3 linked regions of the Notamacropus eugenii genome follow. The protein of the gene in region 1 interacts with the protein of each later gene in a pairwise test. Links are inferred from orthologs where the notes say so. Each region holds a gene or a part of one and is shown on either strand. Other genes may lie near its edges. The genes, in order: MAPK14, SUPT20H and DUSP1.

Region 1 (7,887 bases):
GATCCTTTTTTCCAAACTGCCTTTAGGACAATTTAAGAACCACAAAAAAGTCTCAATGCTTTATAGATGTACATGGCTTTTTGACCAAAAAACCAGTATCTTCCAGTTTCATCACCTACATTACTCCACCAGAAACCTACCTACAAAGGAAAAGGTTGTAGCTAGCAGCTTCAAAAGGAAGAAAATATGCTACGACTGAAAATATTCACAAGAATGTATTCTGATGGATAATTCCAAAAGAGCTCCAAATATGTTGCAAGAGTCTTAGGCATACAAACTATGAAGGTTTTGAAGAGCTTGCTCCCAAACTCTTTGCATGTATGTTTTAGTCACTTTACTTTAAAGGCATAGCTCATAAATTAAGCTAATCAGCAAATGTAGTAGATAACACCAAACCAAACAATGTACTCATTGATTTACTATTCTCACACTGTCATAAGAGATATCTCAGTGGACAGTTTACTTCATGCAGAACTGCTAATGTTCAGAAAACAAACAGTACACGCAAGAATAAATCCATTGGGTAGATTCTTTAGTTCAATTCAACTAGTTCATCTAGCATAAAATCACTCAACTAATAAATAATTCTAGTTGGAAACAAAAATCGAATTCATTAAGATTGATTTACTTAAGATGGACCAAATGATCTGGTAAAGAAATAGTCACACATAAAACTGAAAATGTGCAAATATAGATGAGTTTTCAGAAAAGAAATTATTTCAATCGAGTTGCTTTATAATGAAAATTTTCATTTGGAAAGAATGGGAAAAAAAGATGCAGAGTACTGTACAATCTGCTACACATATTAAACAGTGAGCTTAAAAATGCAATATGATCTGTTACTGGATGCAATTGCACAATCTCAGTTTCAGAGCAAATTCTACCAAACAGGAAATTCATGATGTGACTCTAAGGAGCACAGGAATCATGTTGAAGGAGTGTGCCAAAGAGGAATATTTCCTAAAAACAGAAATTATTTGGCAAGTATGAAATTGTTACAAACAATTTTCAAATTATATATGCACACAACACTAAAGAAAAAAAACCCTGTAACCATCACCTATTTATTTCCAGGCCAATATTTATGACAAATCTAAAGTACACAATTCATCATATGGCTTTCATTGGCTAAATACGTGTTTAAACTAAAATAAATTTGAAGAAGAGAAAGGTCTGCCTTGTGAAACGATGAGATATGAAGTGAACTGTTCAAACTGAGACAGAATGAACATTTGTTAGTGACACTGCAGAAGTTTTGCTTTTGCTGGAAGGCTACATTAGACAATTTCAAAAGTCCCTTCCAATTCTAAGAATCTAACTTAAAAAATTTAATTACGCTACATAAAGAATTATTATGGTAACATACTTTCTACACATTTACAATTCATCATAGCCAGTGACCTCTTTCAAGTTCTCCATTTTCTTGTTTTCCTGAGGCAAACATTCTACACCTGTTTTCTCAGCAATAAATGTAGAAAGTTCTTGTGTACACTAGCAAATGCACCATGGTATGAAACTTTTACAATACTTTTGGTAAAGTGAATTGAATATTATCCCAATCGTGCAAAAATATAATTTCTGTCACTGTGAACAACCACTTTTCATCTTAGGGATGTCACACCAGGCCCATTTTCCCAGAGTCAAATGAAAATGTTCTGTCAAGAACTTTACAATACTTGAATAAAAAAATGCTCTAATGCTTGCAATCATTCCATGGAACTCTAAAATGACAACAGCCTTGTAGGTGCCTTCTTTTCATTTAAAAAAAAAAAATTAGCTTCCAACCAGCTGAGGTTGCAATGCACATTAAAAATTGGCAGGCTTGCAGAAATGTAAGAAATTTCAAGCTCAAAAGGTTGAGAATGATGAAATCTCATCAAATATGCCCGTTTCTGAAAACTGGATTCATATTTAATCAACAGATGTTTGCAAAAAAAAAAAAAGTAAGAAAAAACATTTCCCCCCCATCAGGCACAAAACCCAGTGGGGTTTGCTGCCCAAGAACGACGTCTTACTAGTTCTCCCATTCTTAGGCTGCTTCCCCATGTTTGGCCTGTCTGCAGCCCGTGCCAGATCTGACACACGGCGGGGGCGGGTGGGGAACCGTCGCGAACGCCCGCCGAAGCTGGCAAAGATCAATAAAGGGCCAAGCTTGCCTTCCGCTGGTAGAACTTCCTCAATAAGTTGACCTCCCATTCCCATCTTCCCTGCAGCCCTACGGGGTGCGGGGCGGGGGGGTCTGAAGAAAGAGAGTCCCCTTGAGCAGGCAACCCGGGCCGTCCGGTATCCGACTAATGCAAACGGCTCTACGTAGGTGCAAACGAGTTGTCATAAGCTGGCTCCGCCGTGCAAGAGGGGGCACGAGGGTGTGCAGGAGGGAGCAGTGCCCTCTCCGAGGTGGGGGGGAATTCCTGCCGCTTGGCGCATCCCTGAGCTCCTGGGAAGCAAGCTGGAGACTCCGGCCCCGTCCCACCCTCCAGCTCGGGATACTCACCACACCGACCCGTAGGCGCCGGAGCCTACTGGGGACAGGTTCTGGTAGCGCTCGGGCACCTCCCAGATGGTCTTGTTCAGCTCCTGCCGGTAGAACTTAGGCCTCTCCTGAGACATCTTCCACCGACGGCTGCAGCGCAGGGGAGGTGGCCCAGCGGGAGCCAGCCAGCGCCTCCGCCCGCCCGCCCGTCGGGGCCGGGCCCCCCCCGCAGCTCCCCCGGCGCTCCGCAGGTGCTGCCGCAGCGACGGCCCCGCCGACCCCCGAAGCCGCTGTCAGCCGGGGGCGCGCGGCGACTCTGCCCACCCCCGGGGGACCCTGGCCACCGGCAAGGGGGGCTTCCCACACTCAGGACCCGGGACTGCGCCCGCCTTCCTGCTGCTTCCCCCCGGTACCCGAGGGCTGGGCCGGGAGGGGGTCCGAAGCGGGGGTAGCGAAAGGGCCGGTTTCTCCGCCCGGAGGTGGCTGCTGCAGCAGCGGCGGTGCAGCTCAGGCTCCGACGGCAGCTCCCGCGCCAGCTGCGGCTCCGGCGCCTGCGAATCTGCGAGCTCCTCCCCTCCCCCCACCCCACCTCCCCGCAGACGGGAACTCCTGGACGAGATCTCGCGAGAGCCTCGCGCGGGGTGGGTCCGGGGAGGTCCTCCGCGAGCCCAGATTTTACCCAATATGGAACCTGCTCGCGCGGGGGACAGGGGGAAGGCAAGGGATTATGGAGGGGGAGGGGGAGGAGGAGGAGGAGCGGAGGAGGAGGCGTGTTCTCGCGAGACGTAGCTCGCGGACGCCTCTGCGTGTCTTCCCCAGGTCGGAGATTTGTTTCTCGGCCAGGCGGGAATGAGAGCTGACCGGAAGCTGTCGGTGGTCCCGTGGGAGAGACAGGGACACGGGGGTCTTGCCGGTGCGCATTTATTGATGGGCGTCAAACCCCGCTGGCCTGCCCGTGTAGGGCCGGAGAGGGAGGAACGCGCGGCCCCTTGGCCCGGCCTCTGCCCAGGCAAACCGCTGGCCTCGGCTCGGAGAGGCCCGTGCAGTCCCTGCAGGGCCTTACAGCCGAGCTGGACCCTTCTCGATGGAGGGGAGCCTCGTGTCCGCTTGGCAGATTCACCACCAGCCTCAATGCCACAGTCATGTACTAAATCTCTCGAGGCGCTGGCAGAGATGCCAGGACACAGACTGTGCCTCAGGACACTGTGAGCCCAGAGACGTCTCCTGACCCCTGAGCCTCAGTTTTCTGGTCTGTAAAACGGAGATAACGAGAGCGCCTACTCACGGGGCTGACGTAGGGATCAAAGTCAATTCAATAAACGTCTTAAATGAGAGTGCCCACCATGTGCCAGGCGCCGTGCCCATCGCTCGGGCTACAAAAAGGCAAAAGACAGATGTTGCCCTCGAGGCTCTTTCAACCTGATGGAATTAATGAGTTAACGCGTGAAGTGCTGTGCTCGTACGTCTAAAATGATACTTAGGATCCTCCCAAGCCTTCTGGAAGCTGACAGCCTATGTGGGTTGGCTGACATGAATAAATAGAAATACCTTTAATGCAAAGTTATACGTGATAAAGAGGAAAGAACCTCTAGAGAAATTTATGTAAAGAAGTGGACAGGAAGGACCCATAGAGAGAAAGCATGGATGGATTGCCATCTTCATCCTTGGAGAAAGTACTGAAGTCGAGGGAAAGAGCTCCAAGAATAGCCCTGTCAGGTACCACGAGGGTCTTTCAGGCCTGGGGGTGGTCAGGGAGGGCTTTCTGGAGGAGGTGGCATTTCAGTTGGATTTTGAATGTGGGAGATGGGTAGCCATGGTGGTTCAGTACTCTGGGAACGTCTTGAAAAAAACAAAACACTAGCGATTGGAAAGAAAAAAAGATTGCAAAAAATCCTGTTTCCCATCATAAAATATTTTCACCTGATTTGAAGCACCATCAGAATTACTAGTCTAGAACTCTAATAGTGAAGACCTTTCAAAGCTTCAAAATTTGACCATACTTGAGATTTCTTCTGTGTAGGTATTACTTCCAACATTTGAATGGTAATTATTCCTCTGCACAGGATCCACCAAACATTTTGGGCTCCTTCCTCTATATCTCTTGATGGTATATGGGTACCAGTGGAACACTTGGGTCATCCATTATTATCTTTCATTGTCTTTATGTAACCTACCTACCTCCTCTTCCAATTGGACCTCTTTAATTTTTTTCAAACTTTTTAGTTTTTGCATCACTTACTTTTCCCAGTATGGCCACACTTTTAAAAAAAAAGGGAAAAAAATTCAGCAGAACTAAACAGCACATCCAGAGAGTTTCACATTATCTGTAGTGTTGCCCACCCATGGTCCTCACCTCTCCATTTTAATATATCTTTTTGGTGACTTGGATTAGTTATTATACTTTCTCAGCATTCAGTTTTAATTGGTTTTTTTCATTAAACTGTTTTGTACATTGTTTTCCTGCTTCTATTTACTTTACTTTGCATCAATTATGTATTTTTATGTAATTCTCTCTAGTCATTATATTGTTTCTTATCAGTCAGTAAACATTTATTAAGCTCCTGCTATGTGCCAGGTACTGTGCTAAGTATTGGGGTTATGAAAAGAGGTAAAAACGGTCCCTGCCCTCACAGAGTTTACAATCTAATGAGGGAGACAAAAAGCAAACAAATAGAAACAACATATATATGGGATAAATACGACCCATATAGGGAAGGCACTAGCAATGATATAGGTTTGAGAAAGTGTGGGAAAAGATGAAACTTCAGTAGAGATTTGAAGGAAACCAGGAAAGCCAGTAGGAGATGATGAGGGAGAGTGGCATTTCATTATGCACCATAATATACCACAGTTTGTTTAGTCACTCTCTGGTTACTGGGTATATACTGTTTCCAGTTCTTTGCTATCACAAAGTTCTGTAGCAAATATTTTGGTATGTGTGAAGTCTTTCTTTTTTGTCATTGACCAACTTGAGGTTAAAATGCCTACTAGTGGAATCACACTAGAACAAAGGATATAGGAGTTTAGTCACATTCCACAAATAATTCCAAATTGCTTTCCATAAAATAGTGAGACCAAGTTACAGCTCTACCAACAATGCATTAGTGTGCCTGTCTTTCTTTCCACAATCCGTTTGACATTGACTATTCCCATCTTTTGTACCTTTGCCAATTTGCTGGTTATAAAGTGAAACGAGTTCTTTTGATTTGCTGTTCTCTTATTTTTAGTTAATGGTATCACTTTATATGGTTTTTACTAGTTTGCAATTCTTTTGAGAATTACTTATTATCTTTTGACCACTTATCTATTAGAAAATTACTTTTGTTCTTGTATATTTTTCTTGGCTGACTATATATTTTGGATGTTAGACCATTATCAGAAATGTTTGATATAAAGATTTTCTCTTTGGTTGACAACTTCTCTTTTCTTAATGGCATTAATTTTGTTTGTGCAAAGTTCACCTAATTAAAAATATCCATTTTATTTTTTATACTTACCACTATCCTTTGTCTGACTATTCATCTCCTTGCCTCAAACTCTCTTAACCTTCCTATTTAATTCTTTTATTTCATTGTCCATTTGCAGTGTATGTTAGAGCCAATATGTATGCCCTGATGGACCTACACTATGGGCTCTTTACTCTAATAGCTTATTGTATCATAGTCTGGACAGTAAGCATCTTTACATACTTTATTTTTCCATATGGATAATTAGGTTAAAGTCTTTTAAGTGATTATGGATCTCATTTTAGAATTTTCACCCTGTCATCTGTAAATAAGGGTATTTGGATGACTTCACCATCTACAGGAGATTGATCCCTCTTTCATTTAGACTCTGTACTAGAGATCTCCATGATAGTGGCAAGCACTTTTTAAAAAGCCTAGTTCTGTTTTAGGTCTCACTTTAATAACAAGAGGGTAGACCTAGCTATCTCAATTGTACCGTTCAAGGAATGTATGAGTTAACATATGCAGGGGAGGCACCTTGTTGGAAGACAGGCTTTGAGGTAGCATCTTGCTCTACCAAATCAAATGTTGAGTTTTTTTTTCTTTGTAGTTAACAAACAATAGTGGTGACTCCCAGTCATCAAAGGAAAAAGCAATTTTTTGTAAAAGTCTTGGCAAATCTCTTCTTTCATTTTACATTTACATTTCATCTGTAAATGTTCATGAGAGGATATTGATGTGGTTTGGGTTGCTGGAAACCCTGAAATATCAGGGTACAGGACAGTGTCTGGAATGAATTCAAGCACTCAAGCCTTCTTCCAGACAAATGAGGAGAGATTCTTAGGGAATCTTCAAATTGAAGAGGGTGAGACATGCTTATATACAAAAAGGATCTGAATGGGATTAAGGAGTGCTACATAGTCTGGGGTAGGCCTGGTGAAACAGTGAAAGGAATGTCAAGTAAGCTAATTAGGTCATCTAGGTGGGTGGCTTGGGTGGAGGCACTAGTGATCTAGGCTGCTGAAATGTATGGGAAAATTCAGGGACTGGGTTTCAAAGGCATGATCTTTTCCTTTTAGGGACCCAGGTCCCATCACCCCATCAATATGATTGGGTAATTAGGTCTCTCACCAAGCTTTTTGTAAACTTGTACTGCTTATAAAGCCTCTCCTCACTTCAATCCATCATACGCTTAGCTGCCAACATGATTTTCTTAAAGGACAGATCTGACTATGCCTTTAGTAAACTACAGTAGTTCCCTATTACCTACAGGATCAAATATAAAATCTTCTGTCAGTTAAATCCTTTAATAGCCTGGCTCCAAATTATTACCCTCCACAAACCTGTGATCCAGCTATACTGGCCTACTTGCTGTTTCTTGGGCACAACCTGTCTCCTAGTTGGGCATTTTTTTAAAATTAAATTTATTTATTTTTAGTTTTCAACATTTGCTTTTATAAGATTTTAAGTTCTACATTTTCCTTCCTCCTTCCAAACCCCCTCCCCAAGACCACATGAAGTATAGGCTATATATGTATGATCATATTAAACATATTTCTATATTAGTCATGTTGTGAAAGAAGAATCAGAACAAAAGGGAAAAACCATGAGAAAGAAAAAACAACTAAAGAAGGAGGAAATAGTATGCTTCAGTCTGCATTCAGACTCCATAGTTCTTTCTCTGCTTGTGGATAGCATTTTCTATCATGAATCTTTTGAAATTGTCTTAGATCATTGCATTGCTCAGAAGAGCTGAGTCTGTCAAACTTGATCATCAAACAATGTTGATGTTACTGTACAATGTTTTCCCGGTTCTGCTCACTTCACTCAACGTCCATTCATGCAAATGTTTCCAGGTTTTTTGGAAGTCTACTTCCTTGCCATTTCTTATGGAACAATAATATTCTATTACATTCATATACCACAACTTTTTCATCCATTCCCCAATTGATGGTCAACCTGATTGTT
Region 2 (7,451 bases), on another chromosome or scaffold:
TCTCTGCTTTCAAAGGTAATAAAGTATAGAGCAAGGGCCTAAAATTGATGGCAGATAGGTGGTATAATGCACAGAATGGAATTCTGCTTCAGACAACTGTTCAGTTGAGTCTGACTCTTTATGACCCCTTTTGGAGTTTTCTTGGCAAAGATATTAGGATGGTTTACCCTTTCCTTCTCCAACTCATTTTACAGAGGAAGAACGAAGGGACTTGCCCATTGTCACACATCTAGTAAATAATCTGAGGTTGGATTTGAACTCAGGAAAATGAGTCTTCCTGACTTACGCCCAGCACTCGATCCACTGAGCCACCTAACTGCCCCAGTTCAGACAATTACTAGCTGTGTAATTTTGGGCAAGTTTATTAACTTGTCTGCCTCAATTCTGCATCTGTAAAATGGAGATAATAAAAGAACCTACCTATAAGTATCAAATGAGATATTTTATTTGTAAAAAAAAAAAAAAGTGCCTGGCACATGATAAGCACTATAAACGTGGGCTATCTTCATTGTCGTCATTATCCTCCATGCAAGATTCCCTCTTTGACTGTAAAGGACCTGTCACTTGTTCTGAGCCTCAGTTCCTTCATCTGCAAAACAAGGGTTAGGCTACCTGACCTCTGAGGTCTCTACTGCATCTAAGATCCTGGAGTACAGGCATGAGATGATCTTTCTCCTGAACTCTCAGGGGGCTCCTCTGAAGGAAGAACCCTAAGAAGAACTCTTAACTTCCCTTCCAGCTCCGACAGTGTATATAAAGCTTTGAAAATTCAAGACAAAGTAAGGGCATCACAGTTTCGTTCTCTGCTAAGTACAATCAGGAATGGACAGCTCCCTGCAAGATCTGATTTCAGCGGTGGCAATGACATTGACATGAAGCCTAAGGAAATCCTCCAGATCCGTTGTCTCGCCCTTTCAGAAGAGGGCTCCTTGAGTTCAGAGATGGTCTATTCTGGGCGTACTCCCAGGACCTAGCAGTGTGTTGTGTATGGTAAGCTTCATTCATTCAATTATTGGCCAAGGAAGACTCGAATTTGAACGCAAGACCAAGGGTGTCCCTGAACCCGGCAGCCTCAGTTTCCCCGTAAGTCACTTAATCGCCCTCAGGCTTAATCGAGATAATCCTAGCATTTACCGCACAGAATTACTGGTTCAAATACGTACGAGCCCTTTGCAAATGCCCACTATTACTATTTCTTACTGTAAATCATTTACAACTCTCGCCCTCAGAAGGAGCTCCTGGAGGGAAGGGGCCGTTTTATTTGTTTTGCCTTTCTTGGCTTCGCTTACCTGGGAGCCAAGGAGAGAGTAGGTGTTTGATAAATGCTTGGCGGTTGATTGATTGATTGATTGGATGATTAGCTAGAAGGGGAAGCAGACTCTGCACGAGCTTCGAGGCGGAGCGCTCGCTCGAAGGACTGCTCGGAGGAGGCATCGGGAGGCCAAGGTGTGACTAGGCTGCTTTTTTTTTAATTACTCAGGTGGGGTCAGAGATGGGAATCCAAGCCGATGGCGACCTAGAAAGAGATGGAAGCGGCTAAGGCACAGAGGTGGGGCGAGGACGGCCGCGAGCCCCTAAGGGCCCTGGAGGAGCAGCGGAGAAAGTGGAGAGCGCCCGCCGCCACAGGACAGGCCTCGGGCCTCCCGCCTTCTCCCGCACTCAGGGGCCCAGGCCTGGGGCTCCGCCCCGCCCCCGGCTCCTCCCCTTCCGCCGCCGCCGCCGCCGCCGCCGCCGTGAAGGAGCCCAGCCGGGCCGGCCGAATCGGAAGTGCTAAGACCGGAACAGGCCGCCGGCCAGGCGGGCGGCGAGGAGGGAGGGAGCTGAGTGCGTTCGGCTGGGCCGGGCAGGGCTGGGCCGGGGGGAGCCGCCGGCTCACTCGCTGTGTGGATCGTCCTGCCAAGGCCGGAGCTGGCGGCGCCGTCATGAGGCCAAGCGCCCCAGCCGCCGCCGCCGCCGCAGGGGCAGGTAGGGAGCGGGCGGGCAGGAGGCGAAGGGTGTGGCGGGCCGCTGGGGCCCGGCCCGGCCCTGCCTCAGCGATCGGCCTGGCCGGGCCCCCGGCTCCCCTGCGGCTACTCGCTGGCGCCCAGGACGACCGTCATCTCTGCTGGGGCCGGGGGGTAATGGGGGCGTGAAGAGGGGGGAGAGCCGTCCCCACGCCCTCCCCCTGACCCCGGCGAGTGTGGGGCTGGGGGCGGGCTGGGGTCGTGGTGCCCCCGCCTCGCCTCGGCCTCCCCTGGGGAGCGCGGGTACTCCCTCCCTCCGGCCTCCTGCTGGGGCTGGGCTCCGGCCCAGGTTCCCGGGCACAGGTATTTTCCGGAGACCTGGCACGGATTTTGTACCTGGCCGTGGCCCGGCTCCTTCCCGTCAGCCCCTGCCTCGCTGCCCGAGGCCCCCGGGCCTAATGGGAGAGTTTGCTTTTAAGATGGTCACTTGTGCTGCCCTTGAGCGTGGAGTGATGTGGGCCACGCAGGGCATCCATCCCCAAGTCTCTGGGGGGGCGTCCTCCAAAGCATCCTAGTACTGGAGGGGGCCTCCGAGGGGTCCGGGCCAAATCCCTCATTTTACAGACGAGGAGCCCAAGGCCCCTGGAGGTGGTGACTAGCAGAAAGCCTTTCCCCTCTCCTACTCCTTGCCTACCTTTAGATGAATTATGTATTCATCTCCGGACACTGCCCAAGTTGGAGGAGCTGGAACAGAGATGGCACTTAATAAACGCTGGTTATCTCAACCCAGGCAGTTGCCTAAGGGATCTTTTTCTATTATTTTTCTTGCACATGCAACTTACTGAAAGTCCTAAGTGAGAATTCCCTTGCTTTTCCAAATTAGGATGAGTAGGAAAGTAACACCTTGAGTGAGCATGAAACAAAATCAGATAGGGAGCCAGGTGAACAAGAACGTAGAAAGGATCACCCAAGTACTAGAAGGGTGATTGAATTTCTTGCTTGACCATCAAATGAGTTTAACTTGTGGAGTATTCTTTAGCCTGCATAGATAAAAAGAGATGAGGGTTAGGTGCTTTTGATAAATAGAGTGATATCAGCCTGCATAGTTATATCCCTCAAAGTGATTTTTAAAGTTGCTAAAATTCAAACAATCTTCATAGTTTATTTCAAGTTGAATTTTAAAGTAATCGATCTTGTCGGTATTTAAAATAAAATTCAGTCAGTCACAAACTTTTGATTGGTCACCCTCTCATCCTCCCTATATATAATTTATAAGTTAGTTAAATCATAGAATGAAAGAGTTCCTCTTTCAGAAGCCCTAATTAGCTATATGGCAGAATTTGGAATCAGAAGACCAGTGTTTAAATCCTGATTATGTTCTTTATTTACAGTGTGGCATGCAAGTCAGAGCCTCAGTTTCTTCATCTCTAAAATCAATGGACAAGTATTTAAGCACTTACTACTATGTGCCTCCATTATACCTCTCAGGGTGGTTGTGAGAATCAAGTGAGGTCACAATTTCCCACTTGGTGCCTGGCACATATCAGGCACATAATATACATTGTGCAAGCAATACACAGTTAAAATATATCTCCTTAACCTTACATCCCATCTTGAATAAAGAGGCTTCATCCTTTGAGGTTCCTTCTAACTCTGAACCCAGAGCCACAAATTGTACCCTTAGCTCAGTAAGCTAACTGCACATTAGTGGTCACGTGGAGCCAGGGAAAAAATTCATACAGATTAATAACTAACATATAGCACTTTAAAGTTTACTGTCATTTGATGTACATAAGAACCCTGTAATGTAGGTGCTATTACTATCCCCATTTTATAGAGCCGAAATTTTTGGAGTCACACAACTAATAAGTAAATAAAATTTGAACTCAGGTCCCAGACCCTAGGTCCAGTGTACTATCTGCTATGAAACTTTGCTGCCACAGGAGAATAACAAAATATATTCCCTTTGTTGAAGGGGAGAGAAAAGACTTTATACAAAAAAGTTCATTGAAATTGATAGAATTTTTAATCCTACTTTGCAAAAAAGTGTTTAGTGAGCATTGAAACTGATTTAAGAGAATAACTAACCCATAAGAGATTATGAAAAAGGTTTACTTCTTTGAGAGTAGAAGGTAGTTTAAACTATTCAATTATATTCTTCCAGAGAATGAAGTGTTTGGAAACTATGAGTATTTGATGATACGATATGCAAAATAAATGTATCTACTCAGTGTTGTTAATTTTACTTTTCAGAAATGATTTAAAGATTTTGTATAGAAGTTCTAGAAAGTGCTTTTTTAGTATTTGTATGGGAAGCTTAAAAATGTGAAGATGACTGTGTCACAAGCAATTTGCCAAGTTAGCCACCGAATACCTTTTGTTTCACTTCCATGAGCATTTTATGTTAATAAAATTGTTTTTGTTTTTTACTCTAACAGTACTATGAAATTGATCTTGGACATGATTGTCATCACCCTTCATCTACGCACATAAATTATTTTCTTCTTCTTTTGAATAATTTTTTTATGCTACAATGGTAAGTTTCATCTTTTGAGGTAAGGGGTCTGGACCTGTGATTTTATTGGTTTAGGGAACCCCCACTATAAAGAAATTTCCTCTGCTAGGCAGATCTATTCTGAAACTTAGAGTGCCTGGGGCATCAAGAGGTTAAGTGACTTGCCTACAGTCACACAGCCACTCTGTTTCATAAGTTCGGACTTAAGCCCAAGTGTTCAAACACAGAGGCCAGGTTTTTATCCACAACTCAAATGCCTCTCAAAATGAATTTTAAGGCATCTAGATGACACAGAAAATTGGGCACTGAACCTGGAGTCAGGAAAACCTGAGTTCAAATCTTACCTCAAGGTGTTACCTGTTTAATGCTGGACAAGGTATTTAATCTGTGTGCCTATGAAATAAAGATAATAATAGCATTTACCTTGTTGTAAGGATAAAATCAGTCTGTAAACATTTATTAAGTGACTACTGTGTGTCAGGCACTGTGCTAATTGCTGGGGAAAGCAAAAGAGTCAAAAAACAGTCTTTTCCCTCAAGGAGCTCACAGAAAGAGAGACAGCAAGCAAACAGAAATGTACAAACAAACTATACAGGATAAATATGAAATAATTAAAAGAGGGAATGCAGTAAAATTAAGAAGGGTTGGGAAAGACTTTCTGAAGAAGGTAAACTTATAGTTGGGACTTCAAGGAAGGCAGAGATGAGGAGAAAGAGAGTTCCAGGCATGGAGGGCAGTCAGAAAAAATGCCCAGAGCTGAGAGATGAAGTGTCTTGTTCATGGAAGAATCAGGAAGAATCAGGAGACGAGTATTAGATGTAAGAAGACTGGAAAGATAGGAAGGAACTAGGTTACAGACAGCTTTGAATGCCAGACACAGAATTTTTTATTTGATCCTGTAAGTGATAGGAAGCTACTGAAGTTTATTTTAGAGGGGAGGAGGGTAACCTGATCAGACCTGAATTTCAAGATAAGCACTCTTATGGCTAAATGGAGGATGGATTGGAGTGGGGAGAAACTTGAGGCAGTCAGACCCACTAGTAGGCTATTGCAATAGTGAAGACATGAAGTGTTAAGGGCCTGTACTAAAGTGATAACAGTGTCAGAGAGAATGGGGCATATTGGAGAGACGTTGCAAAGGTGAAATCACCAGGCCTTGGCAGCAGATTAGATGTGGAAGGACTCAAGACTGAGGAATCCAGGATGACCCTTTGTTGTAAGCCTGAAGGACTGGGAGGATGGTCTTGCCTTCTACACTAATAGGGAAGCTGGGGAATGGGGTTACAGTTTAGAGGGAAGGACAATGAGTTCTATTTGGGACATAATGAGTTTGAGATGTTGACTAGACATGAAGTCCAAGATGTTTGAAAGGCATTTGGGCAGGATAGGTTCATTTTCGAATCATAGGCATGGAGATGGTAATTAAATCCATGGGAGCTGATGAGATTACCAAGTGACATAGTATAGAGGGAACAGAGAAGTCCCAGGACAGAATCCCTAGGAACATTTAGCACAGAAGACTGAGAAGAACTGGTCAGATAGGTAGGAGAGAACTAGGAGACATTGGTGTATTGAAAACCTGGAGAGAGTATCAAGGAGAAAAGAGTGATTATCATTTTCAAAGAGGTCAAGAAGAATGAGGATTGAGAACAGGCCAGTGGATTTGATAACTGAAATCATTAATAACTTTGGAAAGAGCAGTATTGGTGGAATGATGAGATTGGAATTCACATTGTAAGACTTGGTCAAGAAGTGAATGAGAAAAGAGAAATCAGAAGTATCTATTGTCAACAGGGCTTTTCAAGGAGGTTGCCCATAAGAGGCAGAAGAGATAGAATAATAGCAGAGGTGAAAGGATCAAGTGAGGGATTTTTGAAAATGGGGGGGACGTAGGCAAGTTTGGGAATGATCCAGTAGAGAGGGAGAGATTGAAGATAAGTGATAGAATGTGGTTGACAGAGGGGTTATTTTGGGGAAGACAAGATGGAAGAGGCTCACTTGTGGAGGTGGAAGAGTGGGCTTTGGGAACAAGTAAGTTTACCTCACTATGTGAGACAAAGGTTAAGGAGGAGTTAGTGGCAGAAGTCATTGTAGTGATACAAGATGGAGAAGAGGGAGCACTTAGAGAATGACCTCAATCTAATTTGGCAGGGAGGGTCTAAGTAAAGTATAGGGCAAGGTTCTCATTTGAGGGGAAGTAGGGTTGAGGGGAGCCACGGGAAGTTGGAGAAGGTTATGAAAATTGAGAGTAAAGTACTTTTGTAAAGTACTTCATAAATCTTAAAGTATTATATAGAAGTGCTAGCTATTATTATTTTAAGGAAGAGACAGCTAGGTCACTCAGTGGATAGAGCACTGGTCCTGGAGTCAGGAAGACCTGAGCTCAAATGTGACTTCAGACACTCACTAGCTATGTGACCCTGGGCAAGTCACTTAACCTATTTGCCTTAATCCCTTGGAGAAGGAAATGGCAAACCACTCCCATATTTTTGCAAGAAAACTCTGTACAGGGGCACACAGAGTCAGACACAGCTGAAAGACCAGTTATCTTAAGATGTCTTAAAATATATGTTCTCCATGAATATGGCAGCATGTTTTTTATGACATAAAAGAAGTTGCATCAAAGTGCTTTTTCAAAGTAGCCTAATCTAGTGTGAAAGTACTTTAGTAATCACATTCAAGTTCTCTACCTCACAATTAACGTATCTATATTATAGACATCTTTTTTTTTTCTTTTCCGGGGTCTTTGGTGTATACTAAAAAGTTAAATATTTACTTTTTATACATAACAGAAAAGTTTCCAGCCACATGTAATTTTTCATTTCTGTTTACTTGAACTAAATGTTTAACCTGATGTATTTCTTCTGCCCAACTATCTCCTCTTTAGCAGTTACGCTTAGACAATAGTTGACCTTTTTTGGAAGTAAGTTCCCATTGTAAGCTCTTAAAGGGCAAAGAACTGAAACACAAGAAACATAGAGTATATTTTGATG
Region 3 (7,870 bases), on another chromosome or scaffold:
GAAAGATGATGCTCAATTCTCAGGATAGTTGGTTGACAGGCTCCTTTGCCTGTCGATCTTTTAATGTAAAATCTACAAGGTCCTGTGGTTCCATGATATTTAAATTGTTTCTTTCTGGCTGCTTGCAGTATTTTCTCCAGATAATCCTGGAATTTAGCTGCAATATCCCTTGTCATTTTCAATTTGAGATCTCTTTCAGGAGGTGATTGTAGATTCTTTAGATGGCTATTTTACCCTCTGATTCTAGGACTTCAGGGCAGTTTTCCTTGATGATTTCCTGAAAGATGCTGTCCAGGCTCTTTTTTTTGATCATGACTTTCAGGTAGACCAATCATTCTTAAATTATCTCTCCTGGCTCTATTTTTCAGGTCAGTTGTTTTTTTCCAATGAGGTATTTTACTTTTTCTTCTATTTTTTCATTCTTTTCATTTTGTTTAACTGATTCTTGATGTCTCATAGAGTCATTAGCTTCTACTTGTCCAATTCTGGCTCCACTATTCCAGGATTTTTCCTGGGGTAATAGTCTCTGGGTTTTTCAAGGTCCATAAGGGAGGATGAGAGCAATTTACTGCTTACTTTGCCATCATGACTCCTGGAAATTGAAATAGGTCTCCAGGTCTATTTAGTACTACATTTTTCACATTTTGGTGCATTTTGTTGGTGATTTAGCTGTCTAAAATGACCCCCAAACATAGTGCTGAAGGGCTGACTAGTGTTCCTAGGCATGAGAAGGCTGTGATGTGCCTTAAGGAGAAAGTATGTGTGCTAGATAAGCTTCATTTAGGTATGAGTTAGTGTTGTTTGCTGTGAGTTCAATGCTAAAGATTCAACGATATGGAACATCCAGAAAAAAAGAAGAGAAAATTCACAGATTTATGTGAGGCTGTTCTAGAAAGTGCTAAAATAAACTGTGATTAGAGTCTTGCAGGAACTTAACCTGTATTTCTCCTAAGTGTAATGGTTCAGTATTTGCTAATTCAGTGTTTGCCACAACTTAATAGACTATAACTACCTGGAATAATGAGAATCCACTGAATATACAATGTAAATTAATCTCAAAGGGAAGGCTCTAGCAGTCCTACCCTACAGAAGGTAGGATTTGAGCTCAGTCTTGAAAAAGGAAGGTAGGTAAGCCAGGAGGTGGGGACCAGAAGGGAGAGAATTCCAGGAGAGTAACCAGGGAAAATGTACTGAGAAAAGAGAACAGGAACAGTCCATTGTCATGATTGCTAAGCACACAGAAGGTAGTGAGGTATAAGAATGCTAGAAAGGAAGACTTCAAAAGCCAAATAAAGCATTCATATGTGATCCTGGAGATAATAAGGAGCCACTGGAGTTTATTGGGTTGGGGGAAAAGGAGAGGAAGGTGACAAATCAATTTGATAGAGACAATAATTAATATACAAGAACTTCTGTTTGGAAATAGATTCATGTGGGCAGAGTTATTGCTAATTAGAATTATCTGTGACCCAACATATTTTACAGTAACCATGAAACAAAAAGACAGTTCACAGTAGGAAAAAATATAGTATAAGTTCATAGGTTTTGATTTGCTTTAATTGTACAAGAATTCTGTTTAAGTAAATCAAAAGTCTTAGAGAACTATCTCCCTGAAAGAAGCATCTCCCTCTATAATGACTCTATCCAAGGTGAACAAAGTTTTAAATGATCTCTCCCAATTGATCAATCACAAGAGATTTCCATAGCTTAATTTGGTCACCATAAACAAGGCAAACTTTCTCTAATAATTTTAGTTTCAGTGGATCAAGATCCCTCCTGAGAACTGAATGTCTACCATTCAAAGAAGACTGACTGAGTCTTTGATTCAAGTGAGACCAAGGACTTTTGGATATGCCATTGTATTATTTCTTAATATATTATAATGCAACTGAAGCCTGGGTCCTATATGCTTCTAAAAGGTATATGTAATGCTCAGTAACAATGTTAGAATACATTCATTCAACATTTATTGAACAACTCCTATATACAAAACAATGAACTGGATGTTGTTCTGTATTTGGTTCAGTTAGTCATTTATGAAGCCTCTTCTTTGTGCCAGGCATAGTGCTAAGTGCTGGGGATAAAAAAGGCAAAAGACAATTCCTGCCCTAGAGGAGCTAATGCATGGGGGCCTTGGAAGCCTAGTTCAAATTCTTTGGGGCCTTATGTTAGGTAGAAAAAACCAAATGTTTCGAAGAATATTCTAAATAATTTCTTTTATTACAGAGGGAAATACATGAAAAGTGTTTTGTAATGATTATGCCAGAAATAATGCCTAACACCTAGCCTGTATTAATTATGTACTGGGCCTCAGAGTGGGGAAGACCTGTGTTCAAGTCCTGCCTTTGACTCTTATTTTCTGTGTGACCCTGGACAACTCACTTGATCTCTCAATACCCTAGGAAACTTTCTAAAACCAAAAGTTGCAGAATAGTGACTGAAGCTGTTTTGGTGGGTAAAGATTCCAAGTTTCCTCATCAGGAGTTTCCTGGACCATCTTGTTACATCTTAGAAATCTTCTAGTCCAATTTCTTCATTTTTATAAAGGAGGAAAGTTAGTTACTTCATATCTTCCATGTCAAAATCATAGCTAAATCAGGATTCAAACCCAGGTTATGTGACTCTTAATTCATGGTTCTTTCTACTGTACCACAGCCTTTAGGGCCACTGGAATTGTTCTTCCACACTGCTGGGAGCTCATAAGAATGCTAAATGAATGGAGATAATAATATTTGCCTTTGTTCACTTGTTCCTATCTTTAAATGAGCTATGACCTGAACCTGTTCGAATAATGGAAGCTTTGACTAGGCAGTTCAATTAATCCTAAGAATTTTTAGTATATAGAAAACCCTCTGTCTTTGGAGTTTTTCATAGAACAGCTATGAATTCATTTCAACAAATATTTTCTGAGCATCTACAATGTGTATACTCAATCTATTTTCTGTCTACTGGAGGGGATAAACTCATAGAATCATAATACAAAATAGACCTTTGTAAACCTCTTACACATTATCTTGGTCTTTGAGAATTCAAAGTACAGAGGATTGACTTCTGCACTGGACACATAATAAAAGCTTTTATAATGATGTCTACTATGTAATACCAGTAACCTACTATGCCACCATAAACTATAAACAAACAACCACAGAAGCTACATAACAAGCTAGAAACAAACAATGATTTTTGAAGAATTTTCTTTTTTTCTTCTTTTGTAATTATTAACACGTTGGCACAGAGGGCCTCTCTGATCTGATATGAGCAATAACTGGACTGAAAATAAATTTAAGAAAATTCCAACCAGAGACTTGTGCCCTGAACCTTTAGAAAAGAAACCCATCTGGGAGTTTCAGTACGCGTAGGCGCATCTGAACCCAGCCTGACATAAGAAGTTGTATCCTGATGAACCAGCATTCAGTAAAGCGACACAGAGGTCCGTTTGTGAAATCCCCAAAGAACAGTGGGAGAAGAAACCACAACATGTTCTTAAAGTCCTGGGCACTAAGACACATAGTGGTGTAATATTTACATACTGACCTAGTCCAGTAATACAAATTGCAGAAGTATGTATCTACAATCAAAATGGAACTAGAGACTAGAGGGGTTCAGGGGAGGGGAGGTGGAATAAAAAAGGACAAGTGACAGTTTTCTAAAAAGATCAAATGACAAAGCTAAAGGGAACTTGCAGAAATACTCATAAACCTGTGTCACTTGAATGCACAACACACTTTCGATTATTGTCGGATCTAAGTGTCTCTAGGAAACTCGCCCCAGTTGTCCTAAGTCGGTTGGTAGAAGAGGCTTCGAAGGCTCGTTTAAAAAAACCTCTCGCCCTTCAGTGTCCAATGAGATGCCTGGTTGTCCTCCCTTGTCCTAGAGGCGGGTTCTGGTCACTAAGCTGCCGCATTTTAGCACAATGAGGCTTCCTCCCTAATCCCATTCAATAGTAACAACGAGTTAGATCTCAACTCCGAAGAACTAGATCACCAAACCCGACAATTGATTCAGCATATAGACAGTGAATGAAGGGGACCCACTTTGGGTATGAATGAGTTTTCTAACAGCAAAATTATATATTTTCCTATAAACACCAGCCTCCCTGGTTCTGTTGTAACCACGTTCCGAACGGCTCCCAGAGGACGCAATCATGGGATTTTAGAGTTGGAAAGCTTAGGGATAGATTAGTTCATACACCCTTCATCTTACAGGTCAGGACCTGAGGACCAGAGGAGGTTGTATCTTGCTCACTGTCGCTGCCAAGGTCAGAGCCAGGATTGGAACCAAAGTATTCGGATTCCGAATCCAGTGCCTCTTCCTGTGCCCCCTCGCAAGACTCCCGATAGAAGCGAGCTGGTTCGTAGGGCGCGTATTCTTAGCTCTCTCTTAGGTACATCTCATACCCTTTAATCAGCTCTTGGAAGGGCGGGCAGTGGCTTCGCTTCCTCCGTCCCCTCCCCCTTCCCCCCCAGGGAGCAGCTGCTGGCTCCAGTACCTGGTTTCCTGCCCAAAGAGCAGGATGGGGCGGATAGGGGGAGGGGAAGGAGGTGGGGAGGCCCGGCTGGTGCTCTGGCGCCGCGTTTTCATAGAGTTGTCTTTGCTGGTAGGGCGATGACGTCTTCGCTTCTGGCACCAGGAGGGCTGAGCGCGGGCCTGGCCGGTGACGTCACCTCTCAACCACGTGACCCTGCCCCATTCAAACAAACAAACACAGACACACACAGACACACACTCACACTCACACAGAGGGGGGGAAAAAGTTCCGGGTTGGACTATATAAGGCAGCTTGTCCAACGTGCGCTTAGCAGAAAGCACAGTGAGGGTACAGCTGTCTGAGATCCGCTTAATAGAAAGGAAAGCAGGAAGAAAAAGAAAGAAACTCCATTTGGACACTTTTCTTGTCTTCTACCTTCTTCGAATACAAAAGTCTTAAGGAAGCTTGTTTTGAGCCACAGACTCTACGCTAGAAAACCTGGTCTAAGGGGCTGTGTTTTTACAAGGAATGTAAGACAAACAAAACAAAAAGACTCCAGCCCTTTGGAGAGAAACAAAGAACTTTCCCTGAGCCCGGGAGCGCCAGCCAACCCGCTGTGGATTTCCCTTTTTTCCCTTTCCCCACCCAAGAAGGAAGGTGATTTAAGTCCCCCTGCCCCTTTTTGTTTTGTTTGCCTGCTACGTGGTGAGCGCTAGCCCGCTCGGCTCTGTCCCGCATTCCCCCACTCTCGATCTTGCCACCTTTGGGCGCGCTGGGGGGCCTCCCTCGAGCAATGGTCAACATGGAAATCTGTTCCCTGGACTGCGAGAGCTTGAGAGCGCTGCTGCAGGAGCGGGCGGCTCAGTGTCTGGTCCTGGACTGCCGCTCTTTCTTCTCCTTCAACTCCTCGCACATCCTGGGCTCCTTCAACGTGCGCTTCAGCACCATAGTCAAGAGGCGCGCCAAGGGCGCCATGGGACTGGAGCACATCGTCCCCAACGAGGAGCTGCGGAGCCGCTTGCTTGCTGGCCTCTACCACGCCGTGGTGCTCCTGGACGAACGAAGCCCGGAGCTGGAGTTGTCTAAGAGGGACAGCACCCTTATGCTGGCCGCCAGTGCCCTGTGTAGGGAGGCTCGCGCAGCGCGCATCTGCTTTCTCAAAGGTACGGATTGCCCTAACTTGCCACTGGCAGTCCTTGTGGGGCTAGTGATGGGGACGAAGTGGGGCAATCTTTAGGGGCTCTCTGAAAAATCTCTGTCTTCCGGAGCTTTTTTACTCAAATACTCCTGGCCCTTATTCTCGACACAATCGCGAACCCTTTTAAACAAAAACTCCGAGCAAAAGCGATTGTCACAGAGAGGATCTTAAGCTTTGCTAAAAACACCAGACTAGGAATTTCTTTGCCTCCCTCTCTTGTTAAAGTGTGGTTTCAGGTTGGGGGTAATGATGAGAAGCGGAATGAAATACCTGGTTGTCAGAGGTAATGAGAGACAATGTCTATTTTGTATTTTCAGGAGGATACGAAGCTTTCTCTTCTGCCTGCTCGGAATTGTGCAGCAAACAGTCGACACCTATGGGTCTGAGCCTACCTCTGAGCTCCAACGTCCCCGGCAGTGCAGAATCAGGGTGCAGCTCTTGTGGCACACCTCTCTATGACCAGGTCAGTATAATGGGGGAGGGAGAAAGGCACAGAGCTCGAATATTAGGGAGAAGGGGCATAGAAAATACCCTGTAATGACCACCAGGAATTTTTAATTTTTTTCATTTCAGAGTAAAGTAGATCGAGGTAGATAGGACGTTAGATATCCAGGTGTTGACCATCCTTTAAGACAATGGAAATAATTCACTTTTATAGTGACACGATGATTAATGAATCCTATCGTCTCCCACCCCCACCACCCAGAGTCACTGCCTTGTGGTAGTGTGCTCATTTCTTTCGGCAGTAATTGTATCTAGTGAATTGTCCTCCTCAGCCAATAACTTAATAAGAAAATCAGGCACCAGAAGGGTTTGAATATTTTGCACATATTTCATATGGCATAATTTGGGACTGTGTCTGACCATTTAAAAAATTCTTGTATTTCAGGGTGGTCCAGTGGAGATCCTGCCTTTTCTGTACTTAGGCAGTGCTTATCATGCGTCCAGGAAAGATATGCTGGATGCCTTGGGAATCACAGCCTTGATCAATGTCTCTGCAAATTGCCCCAACCATTTTGAGGATCACTACCAGTACAAGAGCATCCCTGTGGAGGACAACCACAAGGCTGATATAAGCTCCTGGTTCAACGAAGCCATTGACTTCATAGGTAAATCAATCATTATGAATGTCTTTCAAAACATTGGGTTTGGGTTATGCTGGGAAGAAAAAGCCCAGTGTATTGATACTTTTTTGGGGGTAAACAGTTGTCCATTGTATGTATTCCAGACTCTATAAAGAATGCAGGAGGAAGGGTGTTCGTTCACTGTCAGGCTGGTATCTCCCGATCAGCCACCATCTGCCTAGCTTACCTCATGAGGACCAATCGGGTCAAACTGGATGAGGCCTTTGAGTTTGTGAAGCAAAGAAGAAGCATCATCTCTCCCAACTTCAGCTTTATGGGTCAGTTATTACAGTTCGAGTCCCAAGTCCTAGCTCCTCACTGTTCGGCAGAAGCAGGAAGTCCTGCCATGGCTGTACTTGACCGAGGGACCTCCACAACCACAGTCTTTAATTTCCCTGTCTCCATCCCCGTCCATTCTTCCTCTAATGCTTTGAACTACCTTCAGAGCCCAATGACCACTTCCCCAAGCTGCTGAGAGACTCAGGGAAGTTACTCAAGAACCACATGAGGAACTTGAGGCTCCTTCCGTCTAAAACAAAGTGCAATAACTCTGGGGGATAATGTCTCAGCTTTGTTATGTCATCTGGGTTCAACTCTTTCCTGAACTCCACACTTGAGAACAACATAGGTGAACTAGACTGAACTGACTCTAAGGTTCATTTGTGCTCAATTCTGAAGTGTGTCTTGGACCAATGTTTAGTTGGTACATCAGGTTCCTTTGGAGAGAAGCAAAAGAAAAAAGACTTTTCACAGCTCACTTTGTGGGCTGATCCTAGTGCCCTCTCTTCTTAGAACTTTAGTCTTTGTGCTTGACAAACCTACCAGTATTACCATTTCTGGACACTTAGCCAGCAGAAGAGGCTGTTCGTTCCCCTTTGATGTGTGTATACACACACACACACACACACACACACACACACACATATACAATGCAAAAGTTCCCATTATTTATTTGTGTAGATGTGTTCAGCTTTCACAAACCTCAGATTCCACTTCTAGAAAAACCAAATACCTCAATTTTTTTTTTGTTGGAGTACTGTAATCCTGTAAATACATCTTTAAACATTTGTTCTCTTAGCA

What was found.
Region 2: the proteins of MAPK14 (region 1) and SUPT20H interact in binary tests that used the Homo sapiens proteins (3 or more experiments, as listed by UniProt). The link is inferred for Notamacropus eugenii from reciprocal best matches to the Homo sapiens genes MAPK14 and SUPT20H.
Region 3: the proteins of MAPK14 (region 1) and DUSP1 interact in binary tests that used the Homo sapiens proteins (3 or more experiments, as listed by UniProt). The link is inferred for Notamacropus eugenii from reciprocal best matches to the Homo sapiens genes MAPK14 and DUSP1.

Annotation. Positions count from the first base shown.
Region 1 is NC_092873.1:93,169,941-93,177,827, reverse strand, and holds the start of MAPK14 (mitogen-activated protein kinase 14), read right to left. Parts: upstream 3,053-7,887; 5' UTR 2,611-3,052; coding exon 2,495-2,610; intron 1-2,494. UniProt on the Homo sapiens protein: Serine/threonine kinase which acts as an essential component of the MAP kinase signal transduction pathway.
Region 2 is NC_092876.1:98,555,732-98,563,182, reverse strand, and holds the start of SUPT20H (transcription factor SPT20 homolog), read left to right. Parts: upstream 1-4,381; 5' UTR 4,382-4,476; coding exon 4,477-4,479; intron 4,480-7,451. UniProt on the Homo sapiens protein: Required for MAP kinase p38 (MAPK11, MAPK12, MAPK13 and/or MAPK14) activation during gastrulation.
Region 3 is NC_092872.1:404,682,536-404,690,405, reverse strand, and holds the start of DUSP1 (dual specificity protein phosphatase 1), read left to right. Parts: upstream 1-4,784; 5' UTR 4,785-5,261; coding exon 5,262-5,631; intron 5,632-5,983; coding exon 5,984-6,129; intron 6,130-6,555; coding exon 6,556-6,775; intron 6,776-6,894; coding exon 6,895-7,265; 3' UTR 7,266-7,870. UniProt on the Homo sapiens protein: Dual specificity phosphatase that dephosphorylates MAP kinase MAPK1/ERK2 on both 'Thr-183' and 'Tyr-185', regulating its activity during the meiotic cell cycle.